Cricetulus griseus: one gene and its partner. The protein of the gene in region 1 interacts with the protein of each later gene in a biochemical or structural test. Links are inferred from orthologs where the notes say so. Each region holds a gene or a part of one and is shown on either strand. Other genes may lie near its edges.

What was found. The genes of interacting proteins can lie anywhere in the genome.
Region 2: the proteins of Gckr (region 1) and Gck form a complex in vitro, tested with the Homo sapiens proteins (2 studies listed by BioGRID and IntAct, with this or other methods). The link is inferred for Cricetulus griseus from reciprocal best matches to the Homo sapiens genes GCKR and GCK.

Annotation. Positions count from the first base shown.
Region 1 is NC_048600.1:13,075,753-13,080,846, forward strand, and holds part of Gckr (glucokinase regulatory protein), read right to left. Parts: intron 5,010-5,094; coding exon 4,891-5,009; intron 4,465-4,890; coding exon 4,366-4,464; intron 4,184-4,365; coding exon 4,086-4,183; intron 3,746-4,085; coding exon 3,669-3,745; intron 3,337-3,668; coding exon 3,240-3,336; intron 2,469-3,239; coding exon 2,371-2,468; intron 2,280-2,370; coding exon 2,196-2,279; intron 1-2,195. UniProt on the Homo sapiens protein: Regulates glucokinase (GCK) by forming an inactive complex with this enzyme. Acts by promoting GCK recruitment to the nucleus, possibly to provide a reserve of GCK that can be quickly released in the cytoplasm after a meal.
Region 2 is NW_023276807.1:98,927,591-98,932,684, reverse strand, and holds part of Gck (hexokinase-4), read right to left. Parts: intron 4,654-5,094; coding exon 4,491-4,653; intron 4,052-4,490; coding exon 3,897-4,051; intron 2,819-3,896; coding exon 2,699-2,818; intron 1,438-2,698; coding exon 1,342-1,437; intron 1,237-1,341; coding exon 1,137-1,236; intron 1-1,136. UniProt on the Homo sapiens protein: Catalyzes the phosphorylation of hexose, such as D-glucose, D-fructose and D-mannose, to hexose 6-phosphate (D-glucose 6-phosphate, D-fructose 6-phosphate and D-mannose 6-phosphate, respectively).

The DNA of each region.
Region 1 (5,094 bases):
CCCAGAGTGGATAATTATATTGTACTTATAGCAGCAAATGCCCTTGCTGGAAGTGGCTGTACTCTGATGTGATTGGTGTGAAGATTTGTTTTTTGAGACAGGGTTTCATGTAACTCGGGGTGGCTTCAAAGTCCTTATGTAGCTGGGGATGACCTTGAGCTCTTCCAGATTCTGCTTCTGCCACCAAGTGCTAGGATTGTTGTGCCACTCTGCCTGGCAAGTGTGAAGTGTAAGATGGCTTCACTTATCTTTCAGATGAACTAGAGGAGAGAAAGGAATGAAGTAAATTCAGTAAAGGACTGGTGAGTAGGGCAAAATGTTTCAAATTAAAAGTGAAGACCAGCTGGGCGTTGGTGGCCCACGCCTTTAATTCCAGCACTTGGGAGGCAGAGGTAGGTGGATCTCTGTGAGTTCGAGACCAGCCTGATCTACAAGAGCTAGTTCCAGGATAGGCTCCAAAGCCACAGAGAAACCCTGTCTCAAAAAAAAAAAAAAAAAAAAAGTGAAGACCAAGCTGGAGAGATGGCTCACTGTTTAAGAGCACTGGCTCTTAGGTCCCAGGTTTAATTCCCAACACCCACATGGTAACTCACATATACACACTCTCACACATATACACACTCACACACATACACACATATTCTCACACACATACACACTCACACACACTCACACATACACACACTCACACATATACATACTCACACATACACAAAGAGTAAAATGTAATGGAAAATTTAAGAAAACTGAACAAGCCATGGAGAATAAGTGGAAGCGGTTTTCCTCCATGGTCCCACCTCTGCTCTTGCTTCCAGTTGGAGCTCCTGCCCCCAACTCCCTGAAATGATAGGCTGTAAAGTATAAGACCAAAGAGTCTTAACCTTTCCAAGTTGTTTTCGGTCAGTGTTTTATCATAGCAGCAAAAAGCAAACTAGGAAAAAGTCCCAAAGAAAGCTTTTTTTTTTTTTTTTCAGACAATTCCATATGGAAAGATGAAGCCAGTATCAAGTAAAAGATTGAAAACCTAATAGATTTGGATACAGACAAAATTTGAATAAAATGGCACCGCATTAAAAGCAGAAATAGTCAAGCAGTGGTGGCGCACATCTTTAATTCCAGCACTCGGAAGGCAGAGGCAGGCGGATCTCTGTGAGTTGGAGGCCAGCCTGGTCTACAGAGCGAGTTCCTGGATAGCTAGTGCTACACAGAGGAACCCTGTCTCAAAAAAAAAAAAAAAAAAGGAAGAAAGAAAACAGAAATAAGGGCTGGAGAGATGTTGAAATGAGAACTGGGATAATATATATGAAATATTCATTAGGATATATTTTTATTAAGCATCATGAGGGCCAAGACAATATCAAGTTAATCAGAGAAGACTTCTTCAAAAACAGGCGATGTCAGAGAATGTGATGTGGGAAGCATGCCTGAAAGTAAGGCTATGACACAGGAATGCCATTTAGAACAAAACACAGAGAAGGGGGCTGGGTTTCGCACCAGGAAGAGACAGTTATGAAGCCAGAGCTCTGGGTCCAGTGAGGCTATATGCTGATTCTGTCTGGTCCAGTCTGGAAGCTTCCAGAAGGAAGTCATTTGAATAATGATGGAAGTCCACACCTCCCCCAGCACCCCTTCTCGGCCCTGGTTCTGCCCCATGAAGGGTGGGCAGATGGACTGTGAGAAAAATAAGGCCCAGAGATAGAAATTTGTTTTCTTTCCTGGGACTCACAGCAGAACTGGATCGGCACCTGAATTTCCTGGTGCCTGCTCCAAACCAAACTGAAAAGTGCATGCAAACTGCTCATTGTTCTATGATTCCTCTCCGTGTGTCTCCTGGATTTATAATTTCACTCTCACACGAGGGGTAATATCTGCAATGTGTTCAGCATGGTGTGCCATGCAAAGGAGGTGCCTTAGACGATTTAGGGTGCTGATAATGACTTCAGTATCAACAATCAACCTGTCCCAGAGAACAAATGAGCGTGTGGTGATTGGTGGCCTGCCTCGCCCTTTCTGTATATTCCTAGAAAGAACTGAACCCTGTTGCCTTGGCAACTCTCTTCAGAAACCTGATAATTTGGGAATTTGCCCAGCTTGAGGAGGAAAGGAGACAAACAAATATTTAGGCTTTTTCCCATCTAGCCTTGGGGTTTTGGGGGCTCCTCTCCTGCAGGCACTGCCTTCTCATCCCGGCCTACCTGGACGTAGCTCCCTTCATATTCAAAGAACAGAAGCGGCCATGTGATGCTGATGATGGAGGGAAAGAGTCTCTTTAGAGGGGCCTGAGGAGAAAGAGATAAGTGTGTGTGGGGGGGGTCCAGAAGGTCTGGCTGTAACCATGCCCAGATCTTCTCCCCAGTGCTGGACACTCACTGGCAAGGACTGCCCCACAGTGCTGTGGACAAGGGCTTGGATGCTTGTGGTCTTCTTTCTCACCTGCTCCACCAGTGCCTGGACCTCTGTGAGGTTATCTGGATGGGATAGGAAGCATCAGAGTTAAAAGGCAAGGCTATGAAGCTGTTCTTCCTGCCACCCTGGGGTCCTGCCAGGACACTCAGTCTGTCCCTCTCTGTTAGGTAGTTTTATTCCAACTTGACCCAAGCTGGAATTGTTTGGGGAAAATGAACCTTTTTTTGTTTGTTTTTGTTTTTTTCAAGACAGGGTTTCTCCATATTGCTTTGGAAGCTGTCCTGGAACTAGCTCTGTAGACCAGGCTGGCCTTCAACTCACAGAGATCTACTTGCCTCTGCCCCCCTCCTCAGTGCTGGGATTAAAGGCATGTGCCACCAACACCCAGCTGGAAAAAGGAACTTCTATTGAGAAAATGCCCCCACCAGACTGACCTATGGGCAAGCCAATGGCACATTTCCTTGGTTGATTATTGATGGGCTCAGCTCACTATGAACACTGCTACCCCTGGACTGGGGATCCTGAATGCCATAAGAAAGCAGACTGGGCAAGCCATGAGGAGCAAGCAGCACTCCTTCATAGCCTTTGCATCAGCTCCTGCCTCCCAGTTTCTGCCCTGACTTCTCTCAGTGATAGACTTATAAACTGTAAGATTAAAGCAACAACAACAAATCCAACCCTTCCCTGGCCAAGTCACTTTTGTTCTTGGTGTTTTATCACAGCAATAGAAACCCTAACTAAGACATCCTCCCTCTGACAAGGCACCCTGAGACTCAAAATGGCAGCTCCTCCACTTTTGCTTCTAACCCCACTATTTCCATTTTCCCTCTCACCGTCCAGGGTGAAAACAAAGACCACAGTGTCAATTTCCACAAGGGATGGCAGGATGGAAGTCAGGAAATCATCCTGGGAGAAGGTGAACTGGGGACCCTGGGACAAAAGAAGATAGAGTTCCTCCGAGCAGGACACTTAAAAGCACAGACTAGAAGACTGAAGGAGACCATAGACAACATCTAATACAGCCGTTTTGACTTCACTTGAAAAAACTATCAGTGTTCAAAGTAGTAGTATAGGTAGCAGGTCAGTGGACTGAAGCCAAGTTTTAGAGGATAAATCCAGAGCCTTCCATACTCCACAGCTTTGAGGCACCATGACCTCTGACCTACATTCCTTCTCGGGATTTTTTATCCCCTCATACTTCCTCTACTGCCCTCTGCACACCAATGAGTTCTACAACTTCCCAAGTCCTGTCATTTTCCAACCTGGTTGGTGAGCTCTGCCTTCTGGTTAAACATGTCATTGTGATCACCAATGAGAAAGCCACGGACATCTTGGGAATCTGGGGAGTTCAAGATGAGAGAGAAAAGAATGGCAGGCTTTATAAGATAGGAAGGTTCTTCTTCAAGGGCTGTCACGGGGTCAGAGAGTGGGATGCAGGATGAATGGTGATCTGTGTAAGTAGCTATAGTTAGAGCCCTGGGGTGGGTAGGAACTGAGATATCAAGGACCGAGGTAGAATTTGGTGCTTCAAATGAAAAAAAGCATTTGACTGAAATGCCTCTTTATGTAGGACAGAATGGGCACTGGAGAACCTCAGGGGTTTGCAAGAAAATGCTTTGGTAGTGGACCAACTGACTGGGATGCTGGAACTCTGAAAGAACACCAGGACTAGGGCCTACCAGCACCAAAGGTGTGGATACACTCCACTCCATCCATGATGGCAATGATGCCAAGGGTCTGCCAGCCAACCAAGTATACTCGGCCTTTCTTCTCCAGGCTGCGAAAGAGTCGTCAGAGGCCAGGACACAAACAATCACCATGAAAAGAGGCCACAGAATAACACAAGAGTAAACACCCAAGGCCTTCCAACATGAGGACCCATCACTCTTGCCATGTTAATACATCTCACAGAGTATCCCCAGCTCTCAAGACATCCTCTATAAACACACAGCCACATACCTGGTGCTGACTTGTTTCATCAGGGTAGCAATTTTGGAACTTTGACTGTAGGTCACCTGATGAGCACGCTCAAATGTCCTCAGGATTTCCAGAAGGCATCTGGAAGAAAATTCACTAGCTCCCAAAGAGGGCCTGGTGTCCCTCACCCCCAAAAGACCTAGGTTCCCCTACCCACACTTAGGGGGTGTCACAATTCCCATTTAAAAGAAAAGTTTTGCTAGTCCATGATGGAGGGAAATGGGAGGAAGGAGGAGGGAGAAAGATCCCCATTAATAAGAGCAGAAAAGATTCTCTTTTACAAAGGGCTGCAGGGAGAAAACAAAAAGCCAAGAAGAGGGTGGGCGGTTGGGCTTGAGCACTCTAGAAGCTGGGCCAGAGACTCCGGTAAGGGAAGAAAGTCATAGCAGGGCAGGTTCTAGCCTCTGTGAGTCTTGGAAGCTAGCCTCTGCGCTCTGAATCTCCCATCTCCTCCCCTGTGTCACCACTTCGTGAATCTGATCTCCAGCTTGTCTTTTTCTTCCATACCTTTGAGAGGCCACAACACCCTGGTCCACAGTCTTATGGGCCACTAGTAGCAGGGTTTCCAGCAGAATCTTGGTGGCACTTCCACCTTTCATTCGGGAAGAGCCGCTGAGCCCCTCTGGCTAAGGAGGCAATGACACTAAGAGGAATTGAGAGAAAGAGAACAACCCAGGGGTCTACCAGTTCTCCAGTCCATGACCCCTGAGC
Region 2 (5,094 bases), on another chromosome or scaffold:
TGACAATAGCAAAACTACAGTTATAAAGTAGCAATGAAAATGATGTTATGGCTGGGGAGCACAACAGCATGGACTATATTAAAAGTTCACAGCATTAGGAAGGTTGAGAACCACTGGGCTAGAGTGTAAAAATACATACACAGAACTGGATGTGGTGGCGCACACCCTTAGTCCCAGCACTCAGGAGGCCCAGGCAGGAGGATCTCTGTGAGTTCAAGACCTGATCTACAGAGTGAGTTCTAGGATAGTCGGAGCTGCACAGTGAGGCCCTGTCTCAAAACAACAAAAAAAGGTTAAAAAATATATATGTATATACATGTGTGTGTACACCTATAATGTGTTTATATATGCATGTATATAAAATGACTATATTATTTAGCATGTATTATTTAGGGGACAGTATAAGTACAGATGAGAACCTATGAATACAAACACATGGCATTGGAGATCTGTCTCTGAAGGGCCTATGACACAGGGTTTTCTGGGTAATCGGGGCTCAGAGAGTTCAAACAAACATCCCTACACCTTTGTGCACATTAGATAACAGATTTGATTGAAACACTCACTGCTTTGGAAGATCACAGGGACTTCTGAGACAGTGGCGTGGGGGGGGGTCGTTGGTGTCGGAGCTCCCACCCCTGGTTAGGAGGGGGAAAGCTACAGCTTGTCTCTCTGGAATCTCTGTCCCTTCAGAGTGGGTTTAGGGCCTGGCAGTTTGGAGATTCAGTGCTGGGTCCCCTGTCAGGGGCTGGGCCAGGGTGGAGTAGGGCCAGGTGGGGGCTGGGCCGGGGGGGGGGTAGGGCCAGGTGGGTAGGGCCGACTAGCAGCATGATGACGCCACCACTTCCGCTGATTCTCTTCCACTTGAACAATTTTGTCCAGTGCGGCCAATTTACTAGATAAAGTGGTTTAATTACATGCAGATAGGCAGGGCAGGTGTGCAGCTGACAGGCCGCCTGATGCCCTGACACTGCAAACATGGAAATACTTCCCATCAACATACAGTTCCCGAATCACCACATCCGCAAGGCCACCTGCTCAGGGACAAGACCTCCCCTGACTGGCACTAGCTGTTAGTGTTCTGGCATTGACTGCTAAGTCCCTGTGGGAAGCATTGCAGGGGAACAAGCCCTTACCCACAATCATGCCGACCTCGCATTGGCGGTCTTCATAGTAGCAAGAGATCATCGTGGCTACTGTGTCATTCACCATTGCCACCACATCCATCTCAAAGTCCTGCCAAGAGTACGGAGACTATGGGAATGCGGCTGAGGAGAAGGCCCTGTGACAAAGGAGTAGGGGCCCAGTATAGCTCCTCAGGGCAGGCAAAAGTGTCCTCACCCCTCTCCTCTTGATTGCATCTCGGAGAAGTCCCACGATGTTGTTCCCTTCTGCCCCAGAGGCCTTGAAGCCCTTGGTCCAGTTGAGGAGGATGCCCTGTAGAAGTAGGAAAACATGGCTGCTGCTGTGTCCTTAAACCAACCAGGCCGCAGGTCCATGGCTCCCCCATTTCACATTTGAGGAAGTAGACTCACACAGCTTTGAGAGGTATTTGGAACCATTTTCTACACACACACACACACACACTCACACACACACACACACTCACACACACACACACTCAGAGAAACCCAGGACCTTGAGAATTTGGGGTAAATGCTCCATTGCTAAGCTGTACCCTCCCGCTGTGTTGGACAGCAAAACTCAGGGTTGTGATTCTAGAGTAGAGCTACGTAGGACAGGAAGGTCCCTGGGAGAACAAAACTGAGTAACTTTGGGGTTTATCTCCTTAGTGGATCCTACTGCACAAGAAGGTATCACATGTAGCTTTCTCTGTGGAGCTTTGGGCTTAGAAAACTACTGGAGGTGTGGGTTTGGCTGCTGCCTTTGCCCCTGGTTTCATCTCTGACACAGGTTGTAATGATTTGTTTTGTCACCTGGGAGGAAGTCTCAGTAAGGGCTTGTCTAGGTGAAGATTAAGTTGGCCTGTGGACAGTTATCTTGATTATATTAATTGAGGCAGGAAGACTTACCCCCCAGTGGGGGGCACCATTCCCTAGACAGAGGCATGGAAAAAGCAAGCTGAACACAGCAAGCATGAATTCTTTGCTCTGTGTTTCTGCCTCTGTGACTTCCCTGCTATGATAACCTGGGAGTTAAATTAAGACCTTTCTCCCCTAAGTTGCTTTTGTCAAAGTACTTAATCACAGCAACTATAAAGGAAACTAAAGCAGAGATTGTGTGTGTGTGTGTGTGTGTGTGTGTGTGTGTGTGTGTGTGTGTGTGTTATGTAACTTATGGGATTGCCAGTAGGGTAGATTCTCAGACCCTTCCCACTTCTGGCGCAGTCAGAAGCAGTGAGGTGTCTTTGTGCTATGTGGTGAGCTGGGGCCCCAGTCTTAGGGCCAGTTACCACCTCCCACTTAGAGCAACTTGCTTAACCTGTTACTCTATCTGTAGAGGGGTGATCATAGCATGTCTCATGAGAGGCTTTGCCACATGGTAAGAATCAGCAGATGTTATGTCTGTTTGCCAAAGCTTTACACATAGGAAGTGACAGGGGCCACAACTGAAACCTCTTCCAAGCTTGGGCTCTGTTACAGCCTTGGTTGGGGAGCTGCGACTGAAGGCAATCTGAGCAGAATTCTCCTCAGGGGTCTTTCTGTCCATGCATCTCCCCTTCCTCTGTCTGGCTCACCTTGTCTATGTCTTCATGCCTTACAGGGAAGGAGAAGGTGAAGCCCAGGGGTAGTTTCTTGTGCTTCATCTGATGCTTATCCAGGAAGTCAGAGATGCACTCGGAGATGTAGTCAAAGAGCTAGGAGTTGCACCAGAGTGGTATTGGGTCAGGGTCAGGGCTTGGACAGTAGCAGCTCTCCCCAGGGACTGTGCCGAAGTGTCCTTTGGAGGTGTTAAGACATTTGACCCCAGAGGCTGCAACTGTATGCTGGACCTGTCTGCAGTTTGTTTCTCCTCAGCACTCAGGCCCTGCGCCTCCTCAGATGGAGAGTCCTGCAGACTGCAGTCTCCAGAGCAAGGTGATACAACACAGGCTGATCCCCAGTTTAGTCGAACCCCTGAGCCCCCCTCCCCCATTCCTCACTTTCTCAGTGAGGACTGACTGGCATCAAGCCTGGGTGGATGTCCTGTGAAGCTCTAGGTAGAAGCACATTCTTGGCCATGACTATGATTACTGTCTCTTTTGCTGTATCCTGGTCACCTGACCCCTGCTGAAGGCTGCCCCAATCCCTTCCAGTGGAATGGTTCATGTGGTGAGGCACCGCTGAGCACTTTGTAGATGGATGAGGGAGCTGCCTCATAACATGCCCAGCCCCAGGCTGAGGTGTGCTGAAGAAAGGCTGGGTGGCTATGGGCAACCTCTTGCCTGGATGCCCCTCTGGTAATGGGTTTTCCCTTGTCCCTGGGCATGGTTGGGGGTTCTGGCTTAGCCTGTGGCTCCCTCTATTTCTAGGTTCCCTGTTTGTGTCTTCCTCATGCTTAGGGAACCCTTGCCACACCACTGGCATATACCCGTTGATGGGTTAGTGGTGGCCTGTGAGGAAGGCTGCGTTTTGGGAACTGCAGAAGGCTGGGCCAGCATGACTTCTGACTGTTCAGACCTAAGCTTTGGTTTTCCTCTAAGAAACTGGACAGAAGCTGGGTTTTCTCCTGCTGCTGACCCCTCTTCAGCCCCTTCTTGTTCTGAGCGGACTGGAAATTGGGACTGGGGACAGGTTAAGCCTCTGAGCCACCTACTTGGGTCTCTGTCTGAGGCGGGGTGGCTCACCATCACTCCTGTTCTTGGAACCCTCCCAAGGACCAATTCTCTTGAGATCCTGGGTGACCTTGACCCCTAGCCCCCCTTTTCCAGCCCTCCCCCCACCGAAGCTGCTCACCATCTCTGCAGTGCCCGTCATGGCATCCTGGGGGATGGAGTACATCTGTTGCTTGGTCTTCACACTCCACTGTCCTGCATCCCCCTCGCCCACCTTCACTAGCATCACCCTGAAGTTGGTTCCTCCCAGGTCCAAGGAGAGAAAGTCTCCAACTTCTGCAGGCAGAGGGAGATATGTTCAACCTCATTGCCTACCTGACAGGTGGAATAGGTATGGGGACCCCAGACACTGTGGATGAGGGGAAGCAAGCTGTGGAAGGGTCAAAGGTAAACTCAGGAACATCAGTGGGAAACCCTTGCCTTAGGAAGAGGCAGCCAGAACCCAGTTAGCTACATAGAGACCTAGAGTAACAAACAGACTAGACTCTGGATAAGGAGGAGGTTCCCCAAGTGACCTTAGAGACAAAAAAAAAAAAAAAAAAAAGAAAGAAAGAAAGAAAGAAAAGAAAGAAAGAAACCAGCTCTCCTGAGGTTTGATAGCTGGGCCCAAGCACCCCAGGGCTTTAGGCAACTGGGCAAAGACCTACCCAGTGGCTTGGGGATGCCATCATTTACCTAGGGAGTCCTGTCTAGGGACAGATGACCCCTGTGGTACCTGAGCCTTCTGGGGTGGAACGCACGTAGGTGGGTAACATCTTGACACTGGCCTCCTCGTGGGTCTCCAGCCTCAGGCCACGGTCCATCTCCTTCTGCATCCGCCTCATCACCTTCTTCAGGTCTTCTTCCCGCAGCTGGAACTCTGCCAGGATCTGCTCTACCTATACAGGGAGGGGATGGATGGGAGCGGCTGTGGCTGTCACCAGGAGCCTCCACACACCAAGAGTCTCTTTTTTTTTGTCTTCTGACTCCAGAATGCAGGATGGTCCACACCTCAGAATATTTACCATAGGTTATTTCAAATATTTCAGGGCCAGCCCCTCAACAATTAGCCTAGGTACTCTGGAGGAGTGAACAGCAGGGAACTGGGTAATCTTTGCTCTTAGCAGGATTTTGCAGCACCATGCCTTGAAGTGCCTCCCATTGCCCCTAAGATTTTGGATGAGGGGAGGAAAATGTGTAAATGGGACTTTGGTGAGGCAGGACTGGAGCTGGCATTACTGTGTAAAGACTTCATGTGTAAGGTCCCACTGTAGGACTCTATGGAATGAATGGGTCAGTATGCACAGGGTAGCCAAGACTAGGTAGCTGGTGTGACCCCT